Arabidopsis thaliana: one gene and its partners. The protein of the gene in region 4 interacts with the protein of the main gene of each other region in a pairwise test. Each region holds a gene or a part of one and is shown on either strand. Other genes may lie near its edges. The genes, in order: TPR3, LKP2, COL2 and RAP2.7.

Region 1 (7,930 bases), on a different chromosome or scaffold from region 4:
CAAACACACCTCATTTTATTCTAATATATCTAGAATTTCCAAATTTAGATTTTTACCTTATATAACATTTTTATAATTTAATGCTTTGATTTTTAATGCACTTTAAATTTGAATATTAAACATCTTCATATTAAAAATAGAGTCATTTGGAAATATTATTAATAAAACTATTTATAAAATTAAATAGTACAGAATTTATAAAATGTAATATCATATAATTTATCCATATATGGCACGCATTCTTACCTAGTTTATCCTTAAATTATCAAGAAAAAAACAAATTTAAAAATATTTTCTACATTTATGTTAATAAGTAAATTTTACTTAAGTTAGGAAACATAGTATCAAATTTCTTATTTTACTTAAGTTAGGTTTTGAAGAATTAACCTCGATTTGTATCTATCGTGTTTTTAAAAAATGAAAATTGACATTTATCCTTAAATTTATAAGATATATTTGTAAATTGTATTGTTCTCATTAGTATACCCTAATCACTTTTCTATCTCTCTATAAATACCTGTAAATCTCATTCTAAAATAAAGTCAATACATTTAGCCTCTATATGGTACCAAAGCTTACAATTCTAAATGGTATAAAGAATATATATGATATATTGTGAAAATGTTGGTGCCACTTACCTCGGTACCAATCCGGTTTTCTATTCTCGAATGAACCATATATATAGCACTTAATTCAAGCTGGAATGCTTCAGATTACTCATGTCTCCATTGGTGATCAGTTAGCAAATACATTCACTAAATCTTTAGCGAAATCAATATTTCAAAAAAAAAGTTCCAAAATTAGAGCTACACGAGTACTTCCATACTAAAAGGACGTATAAAGAATATACATGTAAACCATATTGTTATATCCTAATCATTTTTTTCTATCTCTTAAATACTTGTAAATCTTAATTCTAATAAAGTTAATGTATTCGGCCTCTATAAAATTTTATTTTATATATACTTAATAAGTTATTTTCATACTCCATATGTTTCTTTTATTTGATTTTCTAGAAAAAAAATGTTTCAAAAAGATTAATTTTATAGGTTTTCAATACAATACTTATTAGTTATAATTGATAAATTGTAAACTTCAATAAAAATTATTGAATATTATTGGTTTAAAGTTATTAAAAATTTTAAATTATAAAAAATAGTACATTTAAAAAACAAGATTTAATATGTCTTTTTTTAATATTTATGTTTTTCCTAAAAAATCAAATAAAAAGAAATATTAAAAATATTATTTTCCTTTTTTTATTATTTTTCTTTTCAAATATCTATTTTCTAAATCCATATTATGTTTTTCTTTTATAAATAATCTCATTTCGCCATGGAGAACACGAGTAATTCTCCTGGTGTATGCCTAAAAAAAAAAGCAAAGATTATAATATGAGTATATATAATTATATATGACGTAACCTGCGAGATGTTGAATTGTCCACATTGTAATTGTCACGAACACTTAATTAAATCTTGCGAAAAAGAGATCTCAAAAATATCGCGAGAAAAAGAAAAAAAGGATAATATGAGAAAAGCCAAACGAAGAGTGCATCGAAAGCTGAGAGCGACATAATAAAGGAGAGAGAAAAATGTGGGGACCAGACTGGACGTGTGCACAGAATATTCACACTATTTGAATTTTGTTTTCGAATCCGCCACTCTATCTCCAAATCAACTTATCACTCAATTTGATAATAACTTAACCTACCTCTCTTATAAGGAAGCCTACTTATCACCGACGAAGACTCCGCTTATATCTGATAAGTCGGTAGAACGATGTCTCTGTGCAAAGAAGAACGCGTCCAAGAAAGCGAGGTCTAAAGTTTCTCAATCCCCCAATCTTCTCCTCCTTCTTTATATATTCTCTCTCTCTCTCTCCATTTTTCTCTAAAAGCTAGAGCTCTTCAAAACCCTAGAAATCCTCGAAATCAGAGTCTTTACCTGGGCTCGTGTCTTCAGAGCTCGGATTCGTGTTTCTTTCGTCGTCTCTCTTCTTCGTTTCTCGTCAGATTTGAGATTCGTTGAGAATGTCGTCGTTGAGTCGAGAGTTGGTGTTTCTGATACTTCAATTTCTGGAGGAAGAGAAATTTAAGGAATCTGTGCACAGGTTAGTCTATTTATATGGTTTGTTTTGTGTTGTGTTGTGAGAGGCTGAATTTTGGGATTGACTGATTTGTAATTTGTTAAATATAGGCTTGAGAAAGAGTCAGGATTCTTCTTCAATACCAAGTATTTTGATGAGAAAGTTCTAGCTGGAGAATGGGATGATGTTGAGACGTATTTGTCAGGTTTTACTAAGGTTGATGATAACAGATACTCTATGAAGATTTTCTTTGAAATTAGGAAGCAGAAGTATCTCGAGGCTCTTGATCGGTATGATTATAAGCTGTCTTATTTGTTTTTTTACTCTTGAAGATTTGTGGTTTTAGAGTTTGATGTTCTCTGTTGTTACAGGCAAGAGAAGGCAAAAGCAGTTGAGATACTAGTGCAAGATTTGAGAGTTTTCTCCACTTTCAATGAGGAGCTTTACAAAGAAATCACTCAACTCTTAACTTTGCAAAACTTTAGGTATGATATATTGAATTTTGATCTCTCCTTGTTGATGTTTCTGTTGTTATGGAAAGTAGGAATATGAGACTTGGTTTAGGTTCAGTCCAAGTCGAGTTCGTGATGCTTTGTAGACTGTTTTTGTTTGGATGTGAAAGAGGGTGTGATACTCGAGTTTCTCTCTCGATTGTTTGCGTTTTGTGGATTGAAATTTGACATCAATGATTTTCATGAATCTGCAGGGAAAATGAGCAGCTTTCAAAATATGGAGACACTAAAACTGCTCGGGGCATAATGCTAGGCGAACTTAAAAAACTAATTGAAGCGAATCCACTTTTTCGTGATAAATTGATGTTCCCTACTTTGAGATCTTCGAGACTGCGGACTCTGATTAATCAAAGGTGTGTTTCTTTTTTCTTTCCTCATGACCATTCTGTATGTTGCAGATGAGGTTTGGATGACTTCGTTGTTGGATGATTCATTGTGCATATGTTCTCTTGCAGCCTCAATTGGCAGCACCAGTTGTGCAAGAATCCTAGGCCAAACCCAGATATTAAAACTCTATTCACAGACCACACTTGCACACTTCCGAATGGTCCTCTCGCACCTTCAGCAGTCAATCAGCCTGTTACTACTTTGACGAAGCCAGCAGCTTATCCGTCACTTGGACCTCATGTTGTAAGAAACCTCGATGTTTGACTGCTTTAATCATGTTTTTTGAATCTAAATTAATCTTAATGTTTGTGGAATCTGTATTACATGTAGCCCTTTCCACCTGGTCCTGCTGCTGCTAATGCTGGTGCTTTAGCTAGTTGGATGGCTGCTGCCTCTGGTGCTTCTGCTGTCCAAGCTGCCGTTGTTACACCTGCCTTGATGCCTCAACCTCAGAATCAAAGTTAGTTTTTGACGATCCTCTAGATTTCTAATCCTCGACTTATCAATAACTATCATTTCAGTTTCCATCAAAAACTTATTATTTTTCTTCCAAAAAGTGTCAATCTTGAAGCGACCAAGAACACCACCAGCAACTCCAGGTATAGTAGATTATCAGAATCCTGATCATGAACTAATGAAGCGTCTCCGCCCTGCTCCATCTGTGGAGGAGGTAACGCGAATTCTTTTCTTTTTCTGGAAAGCTGTTTATATAATTCTTGCATCTTCTCAAAATTCTAAGCATTTATCATTTTCCAGGTGACATATCCTGCTCCTAGGCAGCAAGCTCCATGGTCGCTGGAAGATTTGCCAACAAAGGCAGCTCTGGCGCTGCATCAAGGGTCCACTGTGACAAGCATGGAGTTCTACCCTATGCAAAACACGTTACTTCTTGGTATGGGGGTTTGAAAAAAAGAATACAAATTCTAAACTGTGTTTGAAGTTATATTTCTGTTATCTCTTATTTGGCTTTCTGAATGACCGTTTGAATGCCATCAGTTGGATCTGCGACGGGAGAAATCACATTGTGGGAACTTGCCGCTCGAGAGAGGCTGGTTTCAAGGCCATTCAAGATATGGGATATGTCTAATTGCTCACATCAGTTTCAGGTTTGTCTTTACAGCTAAGAAGTTTTTAGTTTATGTGTTTGATGTATAAAGGCGGAATTCAACCAAATGGCTATGAGAAGTGTTGGAGATAAAACGTATCAGCAAACTAGTTGCTGTGCAAGATTCTTATACTTGCCTTTCTTTTGGCATCATTCAGGCTTTGATAGCTAAAGAAACACCGATATCTGTCACTCGCGTTGCATGGAGTCCGGATGGAAATTTCATTGGTAAGCTTCCCGTCATGCATTGTTGGATTTTAATTGTATGTTGTCTATGGTCTCTGGTCTCAGTCTCTTATTGTGCAGGGGTTGCGTTTACAAAACATCTAATTCAGTTGTACGCTTTCTCTGGACCTAATGATCTTCGCCAACATACTGAGGTAAGCATACTTGTGATCTGTACGAGAAATATTGCGATGTAATAATATCCCACTGAGACTAGATCACTTTTTCACAGATTGATGCCCATGTCGGTGCTGTGAACGACTTGGCTTTCGCCAATCCAAACAGACAACTATGTGTAATTACTTGCGGAGATGATAAATTAATCAAGGTGAGATAAAGAGTCACAAAGTTTCACTGTTAGATATCAATGCAGCTGGCTAACTTGATCAATGTGGAACAGGTATGGGATGTTTCTGGTCGGAAGCATTTTACTTTTGAAGGCCACGACGCTCCAGTTTATTCCATTTGCCCTCATTACAAAGAGAACATTCAGGTGCGGCAAGGATTGAATCAAACTATATTTTACATCAATTATTATACTGTTTTACCAATCCGTTTGAAGAACAATAAAGTAGACGACACATTTCATATAGTATTATCTTGCCTATGAATTTCTGTTCTTTACCAAAATACATCTCGTTCTTATTTGGATTTCAGTTCATATTTTCAACCGCCATAGATGGGAAAATAAAAGCCTGGCTTTATGATAATCTGGGTTCCAGAGTTGACTATGATGCTCCCGGTAAATGGTGTACGAGGATGCTTTACAGTGCTGATGGTACTAGGTAAGATCTTAAACTCATAAACATTTCCCTCTTCTATACCGCTTGTTCTTCACTCCTCAGTTTCCAAAATCTTCAGATTCTTTTGTTTACTCCGGAGGATACTGAGTTGTGTCCTTGAGTTTCTAATCTTATCTTTCTGTTTTAAGTTTACCTTTTCAGTGCTTTCTGATGTTTTTTCCCCCTTCAGATTGTTCTCTTGTGGAACGAGTAAAGATGGAGATTCTTTCCTAGTTGAGTGGAATGAAAGTGAAGGATCAATTAAAAGGACGTATAAAGAGTTTCAGAAAAAGTTGGCAGGTGTGGTTCAGTTCGATACCTCAAAAAACCATTTTCTGGCTGTTGGTGAAGATGGACAAATCAAATTTTGGGATATGAACAACATCAATGTTCTGACTAGCACTGATGCTGAGGGTGGACTTCCGGTAAGTCCCAAAGATTCTTTTTCCCATGGCTTGTTGCTTGGATGTTCGTCTTTTTAGGTTTGCATATAACTTGTCCCAACTTCAGGCTCTTCCCCATTTGAGATTTAACAAGGACGGCAATCTTCTAGCCGTTACTACGGCAGATAACGGATTTAAGATCCTAGCTAATCCAGCTGGTTTCCGATCTCTTCGAGCGATGGAAACTCCAGCTTCTGAAACGATGAGGACTCCAGTTGATTTCAAAGCTGTAATGTTTCTCAACTTTGTATTACATTTTTTCCCTTTTTTACATCCACTGTCATTACAAGCTGTCTCGGTTTACACACTTTGGTATATTCTGTTAGGTTCCTGGTGCTCCTGTTGCGTCTGTCAATTGTAAAGTTGAACGAGGCTCTCCTGTTAGACACTCACAAATGCTGGTAAAATCACTCATTAAATGCTATGTTTCTAGCCATTTCTATAATTTATTATTCTGTTCTGGATTTTCGGTTGTAAATGAAGTGAACTTCCATTTGTCGAAATTGTAGTTTACTATTCTCTGACTATAGTAGTTGACTGTTTCCGATTTTTTTGTCATGTTTAAAAAAAATATTTACTAATCTTTTTTTTCTGAATATCCTCAAGAATGGAGTTGATCCCTCAAAGTCGAGAATCGATGACTCAACAGACAAACCAAAATCTTGGCAATTAGCTGAAATCTTGGACCCTTCCCAGTGTTTCCAAGCTACTTTACCCGATACCGCTGGTTCTTCCACAAAGGTTTGTGCAGTTATCTTTCTCAGAAAGTTGTTGGATTTCTATAAATGTTTTGAAATTGAGGCTTAATTTTCTCATGCTGCGTGGGAAAGCAGGTTGTTCAGCTTCTGTATACGAATTCCGGTGCTGGAATCTTGGCACTAGGTTCCAATGGTATCCAGAGACTCTGGAAGTGGGTTCCCAATGAGCAGAACCCTAGTGGAAAGGTAATCGTAAAAAAGAGTTTGAGAGAGCTTAATGCATGCTGTCTGCGGTTTTAAAGAGTTAGAGATAGCTTAATGCATGCTGTGTGCGGTTTTATTTAAGTACTGTTTATTATGCAGGCAACTGCTACTGTTGTTCCTCAGCATTGGCAACCAAACAGTGGTCTTCTTATGACCAATGATGTGTCTGGTGTAAACCTTGAAAACGCTGCCCCATGCATCGCTCTCTCTAAGAACGACTCATATGTCATGTCTGCTGCTGGAGGAAAAGTCTCGTTGTTCAACATGATGACTTTTAAGGTATATATTATCTATATGAACTTAAAAAAAGCCACAAGATTTCTAACTGAAAATGTTCTCACACTAATCTAGTAAACTCTTTTGGTTGTTCTAATTTCCACAAAAAAACTATTGGCCTTATAGGTGATGACAACATTCATGCCGCCTCCACCAGCATCAACGTTTTTGGCGTTCCATCCTCAGGACAATAACGTCATCGCCATTGGAATGGAAGACTCTACGATTCACATCTATAATGTCCGAGTGGATGAGGTAAGTAGTTTCTAGTACTAACCATTGCCACTTATGTAGTCTTTTTGATCTATGACAAGGAAAAACTTGTGAACCTTACGTTTTTTGAAGAAATGGTTCTCATAGCTTCACATATGTTTTACAGTTTAATTTTCCCCTCACTGCTAATGTTGCCTTAAAACTCTATCAACGATCTGAAACTTGCATATTGTGTTCCATCAGGTCAAATCAAAGCTAAAGGGTCACCAGAAACGCATCACAGGCCTAGCATTTTCTACAGCCCTCAACATCTTGGTTTCATCTGGTGCTGATGCACAGGTGTGTTATGCTGCGTCTTGTTGTTGTTGTTGTTGTCCTGTAGTAAATATATCTCAACTGAAGGGAAAAATGCTTGATTATTTTGTGTTGTTTCCTTGCTGGATTTTCTACCATTAGACTTATCTAATCTAGGAGGATACTTATTCTTCCTGTTGTCTTCTCTTAGATCTGCTTTTGGAGCATTGACACATGGGAGAAGAGGAAATCCGTTGCAATACAAATGCCAGCAGGAAAAGCCGCCAATGGAGACACGCGGGTTCAGTTTCATGTGGATCAGTTGCGTATTCTGGTAGTCCACGAGACACAACTGGCGGTATTTGATGCTTCCAAGATGGAATGTATCCGACAGGTATCTATGACTATGATGAGATCATCTCTGTAAATCCACTTATATAAAATGGATCATCTCTGACCTGGCATGTATATATGAAATGCAAGGTCATATATACATATTCTTAATCATTATTTTGAAATTTGTAATGACTTATGTTCTCTTGTTTTCATGTCTCAGTGGATTCCACAAGACTCGCTGTCTGCTCCTATATCTTCAGCGGTGTACGCATGCAACAGCCAGCTGATCTACACCACTTTCCGCGAT
Region 2 (5,252 bases), 4.0 Mb from region 4:
GTTTCTGGTGCGAAAAAGATGGAGTACATCTATCGGTTGGTTTTAATTTTCCTTCACTTCTAAGTAGTTCGTCTCTTCCTCTTTTAAGAAGTCGAAGATCACTTCTTTCCTGCCAGTTATTAATATTTAGTTTTCTAATATCCTAGAGTATATGTTACAAAACCAAATTCATTTGTATTATTGAGAATGACTAACTGTTTCATTCGCTCCCTCTTGTTCATTCACTCCCATCGTTTCATTCGCTCCCTCCTCTTCATTCGCTTCCTTGTGATTTTCATCCAAGGACTCCAGCTGTTAAATCAAGTAAAGTGAGAACCAAATTCATTTGTATTAGAAAAAAAAAAAAAAGACAATTCACATTTGCATCAGCCGATTTACTGGTTTTCTCCGGCAAAGTCTCGACCACCTCAGTGACATGTGAATGGTCAACCCATCTATTGCTTTCATTCCACTTGTTTGGTGGCTCTCCCATCTCCAAGGTCTCGTCATTCCTAATCGGAAAACTATTTAGTGGCTCTCCCAAATAGTTCGGTTGTATGCGATGGTGTTAAAGCAGATGCATGGAACATGTGCAAATACCATACTCAATTGAGAGGTGTATTCCTTGGGCAATATAACTTTGCTATATGGCTGCCACTTAATCTGAAAAAATATAATCTAAGTATTTAATATAGAACAAATGCATATGACAAAGAGATGAAATTTTGTTAGGTACCTCATCTTCCTTCATGTCTACAAGCATCTCTTGATAGTGTCCCCCACTTCTGTTGGCACAATTTTTGGTATACGGTTTATATATCTTTGCCCACTCAACCATTAAAGGAAAACTGGATGGAAATAGTTGTTGAAAGATAGTAAATCGCTCTAATGCAAATACCTACACGAAAAAATAAAAAACAATTAACATTATACAAATAATCAACATCAACATAATTAGTTTTTGTTTCACATAAAAACTTTACTTGCAGAGCAAAGACAAAACCGCAGAAAAATGTGGTTTGACCTTTAGTAAAAGCCTTCTTCCATTTGCATAAAGCGTCTTTTAGGATAGTTGAAGATGATGTCTACCCTCTAAACACACAAGATTATATGGCAGACACCACCCAAAACCAAGGCGTAACACAAACACGTAACAGTGTACAAACTTCTTCTAGACGTGCAAGGCAACCTCGAAGAAGGTCTATCATTGAAAGCGTGATCGAAAATAGTGGAAACTTTATTACGGAGTATCGTGAAAGACGGGGTGTTGTACTTTTGTATCAAGATGTTATTAACGCTCTTAGACGTCTTGATGTCCCGAAGCGTACACCATTCTGGCGGGCTGCAGTACGATGTCTTGCTCAAGCCAACTATGCATCGGCTTTTGTTGCTCTAGAAGAAGAGGAAAATATTGATTGGCTTGAAGCTATTACTGGATTCAGCAAAGACGGAGAACGTTTCGATGAGCAAGAATTGGGTTTTGGATGCAATGGTTTCATGATAAATTCAAGTTTCTAATGTTTTTAAATCAATAAAACTGATTCTAATACACTCATTTGGTAAAACCAAAAAAATCTCATAAGAAACTTACAGGATATTTTGTGTAAACCGGATAGATAAACTAAACCGGTAAGGTAAAATTAAGAAACCGGTCTGGTTAAAGATGGAAAAGGAGAGGCACTGAGAAGAGCCGAGTCATCGACCGACCGAATCATCTCTCTTCTTCTTCTTCTCCTCCTCTTAGAAGTGGGCGGTGGAGACTTCCATTACCTACAAATATCAGATTCCTCTTTTCTTCGCTCGATTCCATTTCAAAATCTGTTCTTCTATCTCCTGTTCCTGAAGAAGACGATTTCTGGGTTTGTCTAAAGTTTGGAACTTTTTTCCTGTGGAGACTTCGATTACCTACAGATATCAGATTCCTCGATTCAAAATCAAACTTTGTTCTTCTGGGTCTCTTCTCCTGTTGCTGAGGAAGAAGATTAGTGGGCTTAAGCTTTATTTTGTGGGTGTGTATGCAAAATCAAATGGAGTGGGATAGTGATTCCGATCTCAGCGGTGGAGATGAAGTGGCGGAGGATGGATGGTTCGGTGGAGATAACGGAGCGATTCCGTTTCCGGTAGGTAGTCTTCCTGGCACGGCGCCGTGTGGGTTTGTGGTCAGCGATGCTCTTGAACCTGACAACCCTATCATTTATGTTAACACTGTTTTTGAGATTGTTACTGGTTATCGAGCTGAAGAAGTTATTGGTCGAAATTGGTGAGTTTGCTCTTCTTGACTTTTACCCTAAATTTGTGGTGTTGATTTTGTTTTACTGTAGCGAATTTTGTCTCATTTGTGGTATTGGTACGATGTTACTAGAAAGCTTTGTTGAAAGCTGTTTTGACAGAAAGAAATTTATATTTCGATTCATTATTATGGTTCTTGTTGATTATGTTAGGTATTATTAGCTAGAACCATTTTGGAATCATGGGTTGGTTATTGAATTAGAAGTTTGTTGTGGAGGAACTAAGCTATAATGTGAGGTTCAGTTTGTAATGTTTCCTATGTCTGTGGATTAGTGTTTAGGAACTCGAACTTTGATAGTTTTTCACATGTCTTGATTGGTTTATGAAAGCCTTGGGATTATTGATTTTTGTAATATTGAATTGTAATGCGTTTTTGTCTAAGTATATATGTTTCTGTTGAATATGTTTCTCTTGGGTTTTAGCGGCTTTTGATCTGGTATTCCATGTTAATTATGCATATAGTTTAGTCTTTGTTCAATACTTGTGTGTGAGGAATTGTTCGCCAAAGTACTGTATCTGTTTAGTTGTTAGTTATCTATTCGATGAATTGAATAGGAGGGTCTTGTATCTGATTTGTGCTGTTGTTTTTTATTTGGCAGCCGTTTCTTGCAATGTAGAGGGCCATTTACTAAAAGAAGGCATCCAATGGTAGATTCTACAATTGTAGCGAAGATGCGACAATGTCTAGAAAATGGCATCGAGTTTCAAGGCGAGTTGCTCAACTTTCGGAAAGATGGATCTCCCTTGATGAACAAGCTGCGTCTAGTCCCTATCCGTGAAGAAGACGAAATCACTCATTTCATAGGCGTTCTCTTATTTACAGATGCAAAAATTGATCTTGGCCCATCTCCTGATTTATCTGCAAAAGAAATTCCTAGAATATCTCGCTCATTTACTTCTGCTTTACCAATCGGAGAGCGTAATGTTTCTCGTGGACTCTGTGGGATATTCGAACTGAGTGATGAAGTAATAGCTATCAAGATATTGTCACAGTTGACTCCTGGTGATATTGCATCGGTTGGTTGTGTATGTAGGCGGCTCAATGAGTTGACAAAGAATGATGATGTGTGGAGAATGGTCTGTCAAAACACATGGGGTACCGAGGCAACACGTGTTCTTGAGAGTGTTCCCGGTGCAAAAAGGATTGGTTGGGTGCGACTGGCCCGAGAGTTCACCACTCACGAAGCAACAGCATGGAGGAAGTTTTCAGTTGGAGGTACTGTTGAGCCTTCTCGGTGTAATTTCAGCGCATGTGCAGTTGGGAACAGGATTGTTATCTTTGGCGGGGAAGGTGTGAATATGCAGCCGATGAATGATACATTTGTGTTGGACCTTGGCTCGAGTAGTCCCGAGTGGAAATCTGTTCTGGTCAGCTCTCCTCCTCCGGGTCGCTGGGGTCACACACTTTCTTGTGTCAACGGTTCCCGTTTAGTAGTGTTTGGAGGTTACGGGAGCCACGGATTACTCAATGATGTGTTCTTATTAGACCTTGATGCAGACCCACCAAGCTGGAGGGAAGTATCCGGATTGGCCCCTCCAATACCAAGATCATGGCACAGTTCGTGCACACTTGATGGCACTAAGCTGATTGTATCTGGTGGTTGTGCTGATTCAGGAGCTCTACTCAGCGATACATTCCTGCTTGACCTATCGATGGATATACCTGCTTGGAGGGAGATACCGGTTCCATGGACTCCCCCATCTCGCCTCGGGCATACTCTAACTGTCTATGGTGACCGCAAGATTCTTATGTTTGGCGGTCTAGCTAAAAACGGTACTTTGAGATTCCGCTCTAACGATGTATACACGATGGATCTTAGCGAGGATGAACCGAGTTGGAGACCTGTGATTGGGTATGGATCTAGCCTCCCCGGAGGCATGGCAGCTCCACCACCAAGGCTGGACCATGTGGCAATCAGCCTTCCCGGTGGTAGAATCTTGATCTTTGGTGGTTCGGTTGCAGGGCTTGACTCGGCTTCTCAGCTTTATCTTCTTGATCCAAATGAGGAGAAACCGGCATGGAGAATACTGAATGTTCAGGGAGGTCCGCCGAGGTTTGCATGGGGACACACAACATGTGTGGTCGGAGGAACTCGATTGGTCGTATTAGGTGGTCAGACCGGTGAAGAGTGGATGTTAAATGAAGCACATGAACTGTTACTAGCAACTTCTACCACTGCAAGTACTTGATCAAGTGATGAAGTTAAAAAGGCATTTAGATGTGTTGGACAAAAGATCTATACATTGATCAAAAACATGTTCATATTGTCTGTACATGGTGAGTTTGATACGTCCATGTTTTGTTCATCTGTTGACTTAATGTTTTTTTTTTGTATATGCAATATTACGAATTGGATTGTACATAACGTCTTTTGTAGTGCAAGTGGCCAAATGATCTAAATCCAAACCTTTTTTTTTGTCCTCCCAAAATGTTTCATGTCTGATTGAAATCAAAATTATTGTGTTTAGGGTTTAGATCTTTTCTCCACGGATCATATAATAATTGTTTTTTTTTTTGAAGAATTATTAAGAAAAAAAAGGACCAAAAAAAAGAAAAGAAAGATTCGTCGGAAAAAGCAGGAAAAAAAAAAGAATGCAAGAAATGTGAAGTGTGTTTGACTCTTTCATTGGTCAGTGTGAAAAGTAAAGTACATTTACACTTGCAAGAAAAAAAACACAGAGACGAACCAAAACCTCACTCTCTCCCCTGAAACTAATCTTCCACTTTTTCACTGTCTGCAACTTGCAACTACAACTAGCAAGCAAGAACCTTTCTTCTTCTTCTTCTTAATCTCAGATTCTTGTCTGAAAACTTTCTCTTTCATTTTCTCTCAATTTAACACTTTCAAGATGCCGATCAACAAAGACCCATCAACACCTCCTCCTGTTATCGGAAAAATCGGTCCTTACACTGTCTTTATGACTCCTCCTGCGACTCCTAAACCACCTGAATCTCCCTCCGCTGTGTCTCAGAAGCCTGTGAT
Region 3 (4,873 bases), on a different chromosome or scaffold from region 4:
TATAATAATGTTGAGCTCTGTGAACATTTCCAGATGGGAAACAGTAAGGCTTGGTTAAATGTCGTGCTTTCTTTTTCGTTGCTCTATCATCCTTTACTGTCAGCACATACCATAAAAAGTGAGAAAGTATAGTCCTTTATTCCAAAAGGTAAAGAGAAAGAATTATCCTTCTTTACTTGAATTTGGCATAGGCATCAACATCCTATGCTAGTTGCTGGTGTATATTAGGGTTCTCAGTATCTTCACTATCTTACTCCCACTTGGCTGAATACGTTAACTTATGATTCCCGTTAACCGAAAATGACAATTAATGCTGATTTGCATGTTGGTTTTTGGAGTTTCTTAAGTTTGTGTGGACAAAGTTGTTCTATGTTATCAGTTTAATTGTTTAAATTACAAATCATGTTATTCTGAATAATCCTTCCTCAGGGAATGAGTTGGCATATGTGGAATTGACCTGCGATTTACGTGTTCTTGTGATCTGGAAAGTATCAAGAAACAGAAGATTCTACAGCCAGAAAATAATCGAAAGGTATTTACTTTGAACCTACTAGGCGTTGTCTTTCTTGTGAAGTGACAACTTGAAATCCGCTTTTAGTTTTCTACTTACAGCTACTCATAGTGATGCATATCTCTTTCATGTGGCACCAATTCAATTAGATATGATAGGCACTGTTCCATATGATAAGATTTCACCAATTCAATTATGTAGCGAGATGTTGCTTAAACAACTGCAGCTATAGGAACATATCTGATTAAACTCGTACTAGTTTGACAAAAGTCACAAAACTAAGGACCCATATGCAGTAATAACTTGTAGAAATCCAAACTAGAAGTAATTTACAGCATGCAATCTAGTCTATCTTCGCCATAGGAGTTTAGAAGGAAGGGACAATTCCATATCCAGTCTCAGACATTAGCGATGTTGAGAAGATTTCTTCAGCCTCAGCTTCAGTTTCTATCCTCTTTGCGAATCTGCCCTTGATCCGTGGTCTTATCTCTGCATATGCCTTTCTTGAAGCATATCTTATTGTCTTGTCAAATTTCCTTGTCTTCTTCTTCTCTCTGTATCTCAGGACCCTAGCCTCCCTCTCCATTGGAGTAAGCTGTTGCACCACCTGAGTAGGAGGACCAGATAGTTGGTCTATCGTCTCTTTAGTAGTTCTTGGGTGTTGGACTGTTATGTCACTTGCAGTTGACTCTGGCACAACACTGATGTCCATTGATGAAACGGATGCCTAATGACAGAGACAAAGACAGTTTCAATCTTCCGAGGTTATAGGAGCAAAGAATCAATGTATAGCGAAGCATACTTGTGATGACACAGCATGCATACTGATTATTGTGAACTAAAGAGCTGGCAAGTGTATAAAAAGCTTACGCTATGGTTTAGGTCCTTTAAGGAGTTGTTGTTGTAGTGAGCTCCTGAGGAGAATCCATAGTTGATACCCAACTGAAAGTTTTGTTGGCTTTGTTGCAGGTGACTTGTTGATTCTTCAACTTGAAGCGGCACAACTCCATCTCCTCCAAAGCTCCTCTGGTAGTGAGTGTACTGATTATCTTCGAATTGGTTGTCCATGCTGGAGCTGTAATCCACAAGATCAAGGTACTCAACACCAAACAAGAACCCATTATTCTGATTACCGATGTTTTTCCCTGGATTAGGGAGTAACCACGAAGCAACCTCTCGATCATCCTCATCGTTATCAGCATCAGTCTCACTTGGGGCCATGGAGCTGCAAGAGTTTGCAGATAATGGAAGAATCGGAACTCGCTGATGACGTCTAGCTAGTGGGTTTGCGGAATGAATCTCTGCATCACAAGCTGTACAAAGAGACGCAGCGTCTGCTTTACACAAAAACGCAGCTGGGGCAGACTCACATGACTGACAGACACGAACACGTTCATGGCGAGAAGCAACACGGTTGGCTGCGTGAACTCGAGCATCACAGGTGGTGCACAAGTAGGCAGAGTCGGCTTCACAGTAGACAGTGCAGGCGGCTGAACGACAAGTGTCACATGCTCGTGCCCAAGTACCACTCTCATTACTCTCTTCTTTCAACATTTTTATAACTAAAGAAGAAGGTATGTGTTTTTTAAGCAATGATTGTTGGCAAAAGGAGAGATTGTAATTAGAAAGGAGGGAAGGCTAATGAGACTATATCTAGGTGGTGAGAGGGGAAAGATAGAATCTTTGGAGATATACACGTGGCGCAGAGTTAGTGGTTGTTAAAAGTAGTTGGATCATCTTGTGGCTGTCTGAGTTTTGAACAAGGTCATGAATCATCAAAAAAGTTTTTTTCTCATAACCTTCACAAAGGAGAACAAATCTAGACCAAGTAAATCTTCTGTAAGTGAAAACATCTCTTCCTATTGTAGCTTTCTCTGTAGGACCCGTGAGCTGACGTGGATAAGATTCTCAGAGATTGCTATTTACTTTTACTGTTTTGGTTTTTTTTTGAATCTTTTGGTATTTTAGTTTTTTGCTTTTAAGCAAAGATGGAAACTTTTCTTATTGGAACATACATGGTAAGTAATCAGGTAGTGACCAAAGATTATACAAAGTAATACATAAAAGTGAAACTCATTTTGGTTTTAAATGTTGTTTTGCAGGTGGATGAGAAGAAAAAGCTGACATGGCAAAGTGGTGAATCTAGAGTGACCAATGAGAATGTGACAAATAAGCCTTTAGTGAAGAGATTAGGATGCTCATGAGCCACAAGTTATAATGTTATATATTAGCTTATATCAACATCACTTCCAGTTACCAAGAAATAAATCTTTTTTTTTTTGTGAATTGTGGAGTAATGTTGATAAGTTGAGTTTTTCAGTTGTTCACTGAAACAATATTGCCAAAATTGTAATTTAATTTTTTGGGAAATTATTAGATCATGAAATGAATATTTACTCCCTTTGTTTTGGTTTTTTACTTATATCAACAAATATTATATATATAATATATCTAAATCAACTATAACTCATTTCTTGTTTCAATTTGATAGTCAATCATGCATAAATCATCATTTTACAACAACAACAACAACAACAAAAAAAAAACTTGGATGGGCTGTACTCTGTAGTAACAAGAAGATATTTTGGTAACTTATGGACTGGACTGTATATTCATAGTTTGTACAATGCAAAAGCCCATTGGGCTTGAAAGGGTTTCTTTGTTTCAGGACTGTTCCGTTCGATTTTGAGTTTGACATAAATCCGAAATTTCAAAATTCCATTATTTTGAATCAAAGCAAAGCTTCCCCGAGACGCACGATGGTTCCGCCATTGCTGAAGCTCGACTTCACCCAGGGTCCAAGAGCTGGCGATTCTCTAGGGTTTAAACCCGGATCCACTATCCGAATTGGTCGAATCGTCCGTGGTAATGAAATCGCCATCAAAGACGCCGGAATCTCCACCAAGCACCTCCGGATCGTTTCCGATTCCGAGAACTGGATAATCCACGATCTTGGTTCTTCCAACGGCACCATATTGAACTCTGACACTATCGACTCAGATACGCCCGTCAATCTTAGCCATGGAGACGAAATTAAGCTTGGTGAGTACACTTCCATTTTGGTGAACTTTGGGAGTGATGTTGTTCAGGCGCCGCAGGAGCATAAGCTTCCGCCCAGGCCAAGGAGGAACAACAAGCGGCTTGCTGCTTCGGATCCGGATCCGGATCCTATTGAGTCGGTTCAGGAGAAACCAAAGCGCACGCGTGGATCGTCGAAGCAAGAGGAAAATGAACTGCCCAAGAGTACTAGGGCTTCGAGGAAAAAGAATCTGGACGATATCGCCGATAAAGAAGAGGAATTGGATGTGGAAATTGAGAAGGTGGTCAAAGCTAGGGTTGGGAGGCCTCGGAAGAACGCAGGCAGTGCAATTGCGAAGGAAGAAGAAGTTGTGGAGGAGAAAAAAAGGGTTGGGAGGCCCCGGAAGAACGCAAGTAGTGCAATTACGGAGGAAGAAGAAGTTGTGGAGGAGAAAAAAGGCAACTCTAGGGCTCGGAGAGGTAAGAACAGTGAGATTGTCCAGAAATCAATCAAATTGGAAGTTGAGGATACTCCCAAGGCAGTGGAAATCTCAGAGGTGAAAAGCAGGAAGAGAGTGACAAGGAGCAAGCAGATAGAAAATGAATGTTTTGGATTGGAGGTTAAAGATGAGAAGAGAACTACAAGGTCTACCAGAAGCAAGACGACTGAAATTGGTGGAGAGTCTTTTCTGGAGTTGGAGATGGTCCTGAACCAAGCCCGGAAAAGCCGTGCAAAGAGGAAGAAAATGGATGAGGAGCCATCCAAGGAGACTAGAAATGATGATGCCGGAGAAGAGGTTTTGAAGAACTGTCATGTTGAAGAAGATAAGGAAAATGAAGCTCAGGAAGGTTGCAGTGGAAGAAGTGATGACATATGTGATCAAGAAGATGAGAAGGAATGCGATGGATCTAAGAGGGTAGAGCAGGTGGAGATTGAGTTAAGGAAGAAAAGCACAGTAGAAGGCCTGAAATGCACTGATAAAGAAGATGGAGAAACAGAGAACTCACAAGATATTGAAAGAGAAAGAGAAAATGAAAATGAAAAAGAAGCTCAAGAAGGTTGCAGTGAAAGAAGTGATAAAGAATATGAGAGGGTTGGTGGTGGGGCTAAGAGGGTAGAGCAGGTGGAGATTGAGTTAAGGAAGAAAAGCACCGTAGGAGAAGATGACCTGAACTGTACTGTTAGAGAAGATGGAGAGACAGAAAACTTACAAGAAATTGAAGAAGAGTGTCACGACGAGGAAAGTGACTGCAAGGTCGAGGAGGCTGGATTTGCGACATTAGATGAGGAAAAGGTTGGGCAGGGATGGAACAATAAGAAAGTAGAGAGGGTAGAAGTATATT
Region 4 (5,395 bases):
CATTTTTGGAATATTATGAATAATAAATTTAGTTTCTTTAAGACATGACATCTTTACTGAATATTATTACATTACCCGGAACGGTAGATAGACTTAGAGATTTGATTTGACAGAACAGAAGATCGGGAATCTCTTATTTTTCTTTTAGCTTGACAATTGGCATAACAACTACACCATTTTCTTTAAGTTTTTTGTTGACTATATAACAAAAAACCAACGTAGCCCAAAAAAAAGTAGTTCGAATGTTTCGTCCTTGTTTTTAAAAAGTACTAAATTTTTACAAATATCCTAGGATCTTCGTCATTTGTGGACGTTTCGGTTTAATGACTTACCGTTAACCATTTGACTAAAAATATTTCCTAATTATTTGTTTAGTTGATATAGTTTAGAAAATACAGAGCATCTAATCTATTCCAAAAGTTTAAACCATATTATGCATGACTCACTGAATAGTTAAGTACAATACATTTCACACGTGACTATAGAATAAGCATTTAGATTTGGCACTATATCCGAATATGTATACAAATAAGAATGTAATGTTTTTGCCAAATCGTTTCGGGGTTCCGAAGAGGCAGCCAAAACCTATCACTATCTCTCTTTACTGTTCTTTTCAACAGTGTTATTTTAATCAAAATATCTTATACTATCAAACCTTCACATAAAACGACAAAACTTCATCCTCATATTTTATTTTTTGTTACAAATTGTACCTTCCAAATTTCAAGAGTCCTCTTACCAAAAAAACATATTTTCACATAAACAAACCTTATTAGGTAAAGACATTTTGAGAAGATTTAAAATTTACCACAAACATACACATTTTTTTTACCATTTAGTTGATAAAGTTTTTTCTCAACAAACCAAATTTTGATGTAAAAAAAAACACATTTTCTCATCTGAATTTGGAAAAATTGATCATTGTATGTGAAAAATCTAAAACCCAAATGACATTTTTGAAAGGGGACTAGAGTGTTGAGAGAGAGAGAGATGGTAAAAAAACTCTCATATGTCCCCTTACAAGTTAAGGGTGTGGATAAAAGTAACCACGTGTTGCATTGTCATTGGGAGGTTGTGGCCGGAAATGTGAGAATCCTGATGATGCTGCTGCAACTGAGAACAATGGTGGTGGTTGTGGTCCCGGTGGCTGCGGTCTCACGGCGCTTGTTTGCCCCGGTCTCTGCCATCCCCAGTTACTCATCATCCCTTCAGCTTCACTTCTCTTTTCTGTTGCTCTTCCCTGAAAAAACAAACATTGTTTCATTGTCTTGCGACTACATTGTGTTGTTTCACTTTGATTCTATGTTTTTACCTCGGCGGGATTATTATAACTCGGGCATGCTCCGTTCCAGTAAAGGCGATGATCCGAGGATCCATAAGGAAGAGGTGTATTCACCGGCTTTCCCATGTATTCGTTATCTATCTGCAGTTTGTTTAAAAGACGATAAGAAACGTACGTTTTGAATTCATGAGAGATTGGTATTTGAAAGTTAGTTACCCTCAAGCTAACTCCACGCTGAGTTTCATAAGTATTAGAAGGGAAGTGAAAGAGCCTCCCATTTTGCTTTGGCGCATTACCGGTCGATAAAGAGATTCCCAAGTTGAGGTCAATCTCAGAGTTATTGCTCTCAGAGTTAATCTCATTTTGGTATGAACTCATCTCGAAGTTCGTGACTGCTTCTCTACCATTAGTGTTGATTGCAGCCTTGTCATAAGCCCTGTTGTCAAGAAAATGTTTAGAAAGAAAGAAACTTCATGTTGGCTTTGATAAAAACAAAGTGAAGTTCTACTAAAGGTTTCTATCAAACAATGATCATTAAGGAACCTTGCAGCTTCTACTTCGCTGTCGAACAGCCCAAGATAAATATACCTGCAATTCAAGCATCTTAATCACCTAACCACTACTTAGACACCATTCCTAGTTTCATACCCTTTCTAAAATCAAAAAGTTCATATTAAAGAACAAAATTGCTCACTTTTTACCAAGAAACTGCCCCATCCTAGCTTCCCATCTACCACATTTGTGTAACGTAACCCCTCGATACTTCGAACTCCCCCGCGAAAACCCCGTGCTCTGTCTACGCAGTATATGCACAAACTCTTCCTTACTCAAGTTTTGTACCTAAACAAGAAGATAACACAGTTAAAAAAAAAACTACTCAAAACAATCATATAACCAAAACAAAAGACTTATATCCAAAAACCTGTTTCATATCTTCCTCATAATCACCAAGAGTAAAGTTGATATCAGCATCAACACCTCTAAATTTAATAGCAGCTCGATCATAAGCTCTACAAAAACACAAACACTAATCAAAATCCAAACCTTAACAATTCCGAAAACAAAACTTTTATCTATAATAATCCAAAAATTACCTAGCTGCAGCATGAGCAGTGTCGAAACCACCTATATAAATCAACAACCATGAATCAATAATCTTAATCATCAAAATTTTAACAAAAATTGTAATTTACCTAAATAAACTTGTTTCCCACAATCCCTACAAAACAAAAAAAAATTGAATCAATCTCACTGATAAAAATTACTAAATCGAGAAACTTGTATTATCATCAACAACAAAAAAAAAAAACTTACCAAATATGTGACTCCCATCGACCAGTTCTTCTATAAAAAGTAACTCCTCTATACTGTGAACTTCTAGACCTTGGTCCTCTCCGACTCTTTTTAACCTGAGCCGGAACCGGAGCCGGAGTCGGAACCGGAGTTACCAATTTCGTTTCTCCGTCACCAATACGGTCAAAAGAAAGATCTATCCAGTTTCTAGAGCTTGATGATCCTTCAACATCTCGTAGATGTCCACAGTCTCCACTCACCGGAAAAAACTCTTTAGTAACGGAAGCTGAAGCGGCGGGGCTTTCGTCTCCGCCGCTACTACTTCCGACTTTTAAAATATCGAAACTGAGAGTGAAAGCTCGAGTAGAGCAAGAGTCTTCGTCTCCATCGGCATTGATAACTGACGACGTCGATGTACCGGACTCTTCCACTCGATTCCCGGCGGAGTTGTCTGATGTCTGCCGATCTAAGTATGAGTCACCACCGTACTGAGTCGACTCGGGAGAATCAGCGTTGAGGTTAAGATCCAACATCTCAAGCTCTGAAAATTACAAATCTAGCGAAGGTGATGATGAAGGAATCAGTTGTTAGAGATCGTCTTCTACAGCAACAACGATTACATAATCACATAATCTCTCACGAAGAGCTCGAGATGATCGGGAGGAAGAAGAGAATGGAGAAGAATTTAGAGATTACGATGGAGGAATGGTGAGAGTAGAGAAGTTTTGTCGCCGGGAAATGTTACCGGCGGCGAGAGAGTGAGACGGATATTTTTTTTTTTTAAAGTGGAGAAGAAGATAGAAGGAGACGTGTGAGGGAACATTTCAGACCCAATTTTAGAGGATGATCATTATTTATAATAAAGTTGTTTTTCTCTCTCTGTAACTATAAATGTGTATAATAACTTTATAATAAAATTTTAACATATTGTTGTTGGTCCTTTTTTGGCAGTGGTATACCGGCTAAGTAAGTTTCCGGTTTTTTTTTTTTTTTTTTTTGCCGGTACGTACTGCTTTTGGTCAATGCTTTGGTTTTCAAAGGAGACAATACAATACATGAAATGAAACATCAACTTTTAGTTCCGACCAAAACAAGAGTAATGATCGCTGCAGTATTGTTTTTTTTAACCCATGCTTGTTACATTAGATTTTTGTAGGTGTAGTTGATTCGTTAATGTTAACAAGAGTAAAATGTGATTTGGTTCGTGTGTTACATGTTTTTTCACGTCGTTTGGTTTGGGTTTTGGGGTGACATAGTGTTGATTGCATGAGTTAATTAGGAATGTACGTTGGTGTGTTTTGAGATTGAGTGTGTGCACCAATTTGGCTTGATGGATATTGGTCCAAGTATGCCATTAGAGGATGGGATGTTGGACTTGGACATGGGCAGATGGTATTTGAGTCATAGGTCTAGGATTAGTGGATTGGTATTTTTGATTAGTGTATATGACCGAGGTGTTATTATAGTGCTAATCGTATGAGTGAACGGTTGTTGTATTAACCACTACTTATATGGTTTTGTCCGCGATGTCTTTAGCTCTTGTAGTTTCCTCGTCCTTGATTTTAATGTCCTATGATAAGCATATTGTTGTAGAATTGTGGGTGATGAGTATGACTTATGTTTGACTTTGTATGCTACCATGAGAGCATTGATCATGCCTCAGTGAAGCGGGGGATGGTGATTGATGACATAGATGATGTTGTCAAACTTTCCCGAAAATTCGCTCAGAAGATTCATCGCCAACACGTAGTCAACTACGGTAGAATCGACATTTACTAGAAAATCACATAATATAAATTTTTTTCTTGTAATTTTGCATTTAGTAATCTGCCGTTATTAATATCTTCGAAAATCAAATCTCAAAAGGTTATTATCTAGAACTTTTTTAATAAGAAAATTAAAAGTATTGTTCTTTTTAGTTATTAGTTGAATATTTGCCATTTTTGATATAGCATTTGGTATTCAGGTTATGTCGAATCATTTGACTAGTACTAGTTTTGGAAGTGAACATGTCTCTTCGTAAGAAGTAGCCCACATGCAATGTTTTCATTCATACGGTATAATTGAATCTACCATTGTAGCGTGTTGCATTTTTGTCCCGAGTATTGATACAACTATATTATCACAGCCCATATTATTATTTGATTGATGTATCCACTTTTAATAGATCTAATTATGGTTAATCGTTTCTTTTAGTTTGAGAATAGCATGAAATTTTTCCGGTCTTAAATGGTTCGGATTCAAGTTTAAACTCTGTCCATAATACATACTTACATAGACTAAAATCCAGTAAAAAAATCACACTTTTTCAGAGCATCAGATTTGATACCTTCTTTAACAAAACCACAAATATATAAAAGAATAATATATCAATTACCATTGATGTATCACCCACCACATAGCAAGATTGAGATCGAGAAATTGAGGATTTAGGGTTAATAGCATACATCTAAAACATGCGATTGCAAGCTCTCTTTCTTGGACGGCATTGTACTAACGATTGGGATTGGTCAATAAGGTATAGGTCAGTGATCCAACGGCTGGGATTTACTCAAATATAGAGAATATCTGTCTTAACGCTAATCTTAAAAAAAAGATTAGGCTTCATTTGATCAATAAGATATTATCTACGGTGTTATCCTTATTTCATAGTCTCTTACATGTGCATGAAGAACACGTGATTCTCTCATTATTTAACAACTTGTGTATTGTATATAGTTTTGTTTTCTTCTGTTTTCTCTTTCTCGTATGTATGGATTTTTATTTTATGTGGACAACGTTACTTTACATTATGTAGAGTAAAAATTACATGTACACTTT

Evidence for each region.
Region 1: the proteins of RAP2.7 (region 4) and TPR3 interact in a two-hybrid assay, tested with the Arabidopsis thaliana proteins (2 studies listed by BioGRID).
Region 2: the proteins of RAP2.7 (region 4) and LKP2 interact in a two-hybrid assay, tested with the Arabidopsis thaliana proteins (one study listed by BioGRID).
Region 3: the proteins of RAP2.7 (region 4) and COL2 interact in a two-hybrid assay, tested with the Arabidopsis thaliana proteins (one study listed by BioGRID).

Annotation. Positions count from the first base shown.
Region 1 is NC_003076.8:9,509,366-9,517,295, reverse strand, and holds the start of TPR3 (TOPLESS-related 3), read left to right. Parts: upstream 1-1,888; 5' UTR 1,889-2,032; coding exon 2,033-2,112; intron 2,113-2,198; coding exon 2,199-2,378; intron 2,379-2,459; coding exon 2,460-2,573; intron 2,574-2,794; coding exon 2,795-2,953; intron 2,954-3,055; coding exon 3,056-3,230; intron 3,231-3,317; coding exon 3,318-3,447; intron 3,448-3,544; coding exon 3,545-3,657; intron 3,658-3,743; coding exon 3,744-3,879; intron 3,880-3,983; coding exon 3,984-4,093; intron 4,094-4,250; coding exon 4,251-4,472; intron 4,473-4,549; coding exon 4,550-4,645; intron 4,646-4,717; coding exon 4,718-4,810; intron 4,811-4,974; coding exon 4,975-5,102; intron 5,103-5,289; coding exon 5,290-5,524; intron 5,525-5,609; coding exon 5,610-5,771; intron 5,772-5,868; coding exon 5,869-5,943; intron 5,944-6,148; coding exon 6,149-6,283; intron 6,284-6,375; coding exon 6,376-6,486; intron 6,487-6,603; coding exon 6,604-6,783; intron 6,784-6,906; and 7 more. UniProt on the Arabidopsis thaliana protein: Transcriptional corepressor. Negative regulator of jasmonate responses.
Region 2 is NC_003071.7:8,193,998-8,199,249, reverse strand, and holds LKP2 (LOV KELCH protein 2), read left to right. Parts: upstream 1-1,766; 5' UTR 1,767-1,994; coding exon 1,995-2,239; intron 2,240-2,867; coding exon 2,868-4,458; 3' UTR 4,459-4,738; downstream 4,739-5,252. Other genes in the region: AT2G18920 (uncharacterized protein), read left to right, coding at 1,090-1,497; AT2G18910 (hydroxyproline-rich glycoprotein family protein), read left to right, coding at 5,119-5,252.
Region 3 is NC_003074.8:486,560-491,432, forward strand, and holds COL2 (CONSTANS-like 2), read right to left. Parts: upstream 2,909-4,873; 5' UTR 2,716-2,908; coding exon of another isoform or gene 2,614-2,715; 5' UTR 2,530-2,613; coding exon of another isoform or gene 2,495-2,529; 5' UTR 2,397-2,494; coding exon of another isoform or gene 2,279-2,396; 5' UTR 2,066-2,278; coding exon 1,382-2,065; intron 1,281-1,381; exon of another isoform or gene 1,239-1,280; coding exon 879-1,238; 3' UTR 510-878; downstream 1-509. Other genes in the region: AT3G02390 (uncharacterized protein), read left to right, coding at 2,279-2,396, 2,495-2,529, 2,614-2,715; AT3G02400 (SMAD/FHA domain-containing protein), read left to right, coding at 3,271-4,873. UniProt on the Arabidopsis thaliana protein: Putative transcription factor. Does not affect flowering time.
Region 4 is NC_003071.7:12,225,144-12,230,538, forward strand, and holds RAP2.7 (uncharacterized protein), read right to left. Parts: upstream 3,482-5,395; 5' UTR 3,109-3,481; coding exon 2,597-3,108; intron 2,502-2,596; coding exon 2,476-2,501; exon of another isoform or gene 2,448-2,475; coding exon of another isoform or gene 2,408-2,447; coding exon 2,377-2,407; intron 2,293-2,376; coding exon 2,205-2,292; intron 2,123-2,204; coding exon 1,977-2,122; coding exon of another isoform or gene 1,973-1,976; exon of another isoform or gene 1,871-1,972; coding exon 1,826-1,870; coding exon of another isoform or gene 1,719-1,825; coding exon 1,499-1,718; intron 1,424-1,498; coding exon 1,313-1,423; exon of another isoform or gene 1,241-1,312; coding exon 1,025-1,240; 3' UTR 513-1,024; downstream 1-512.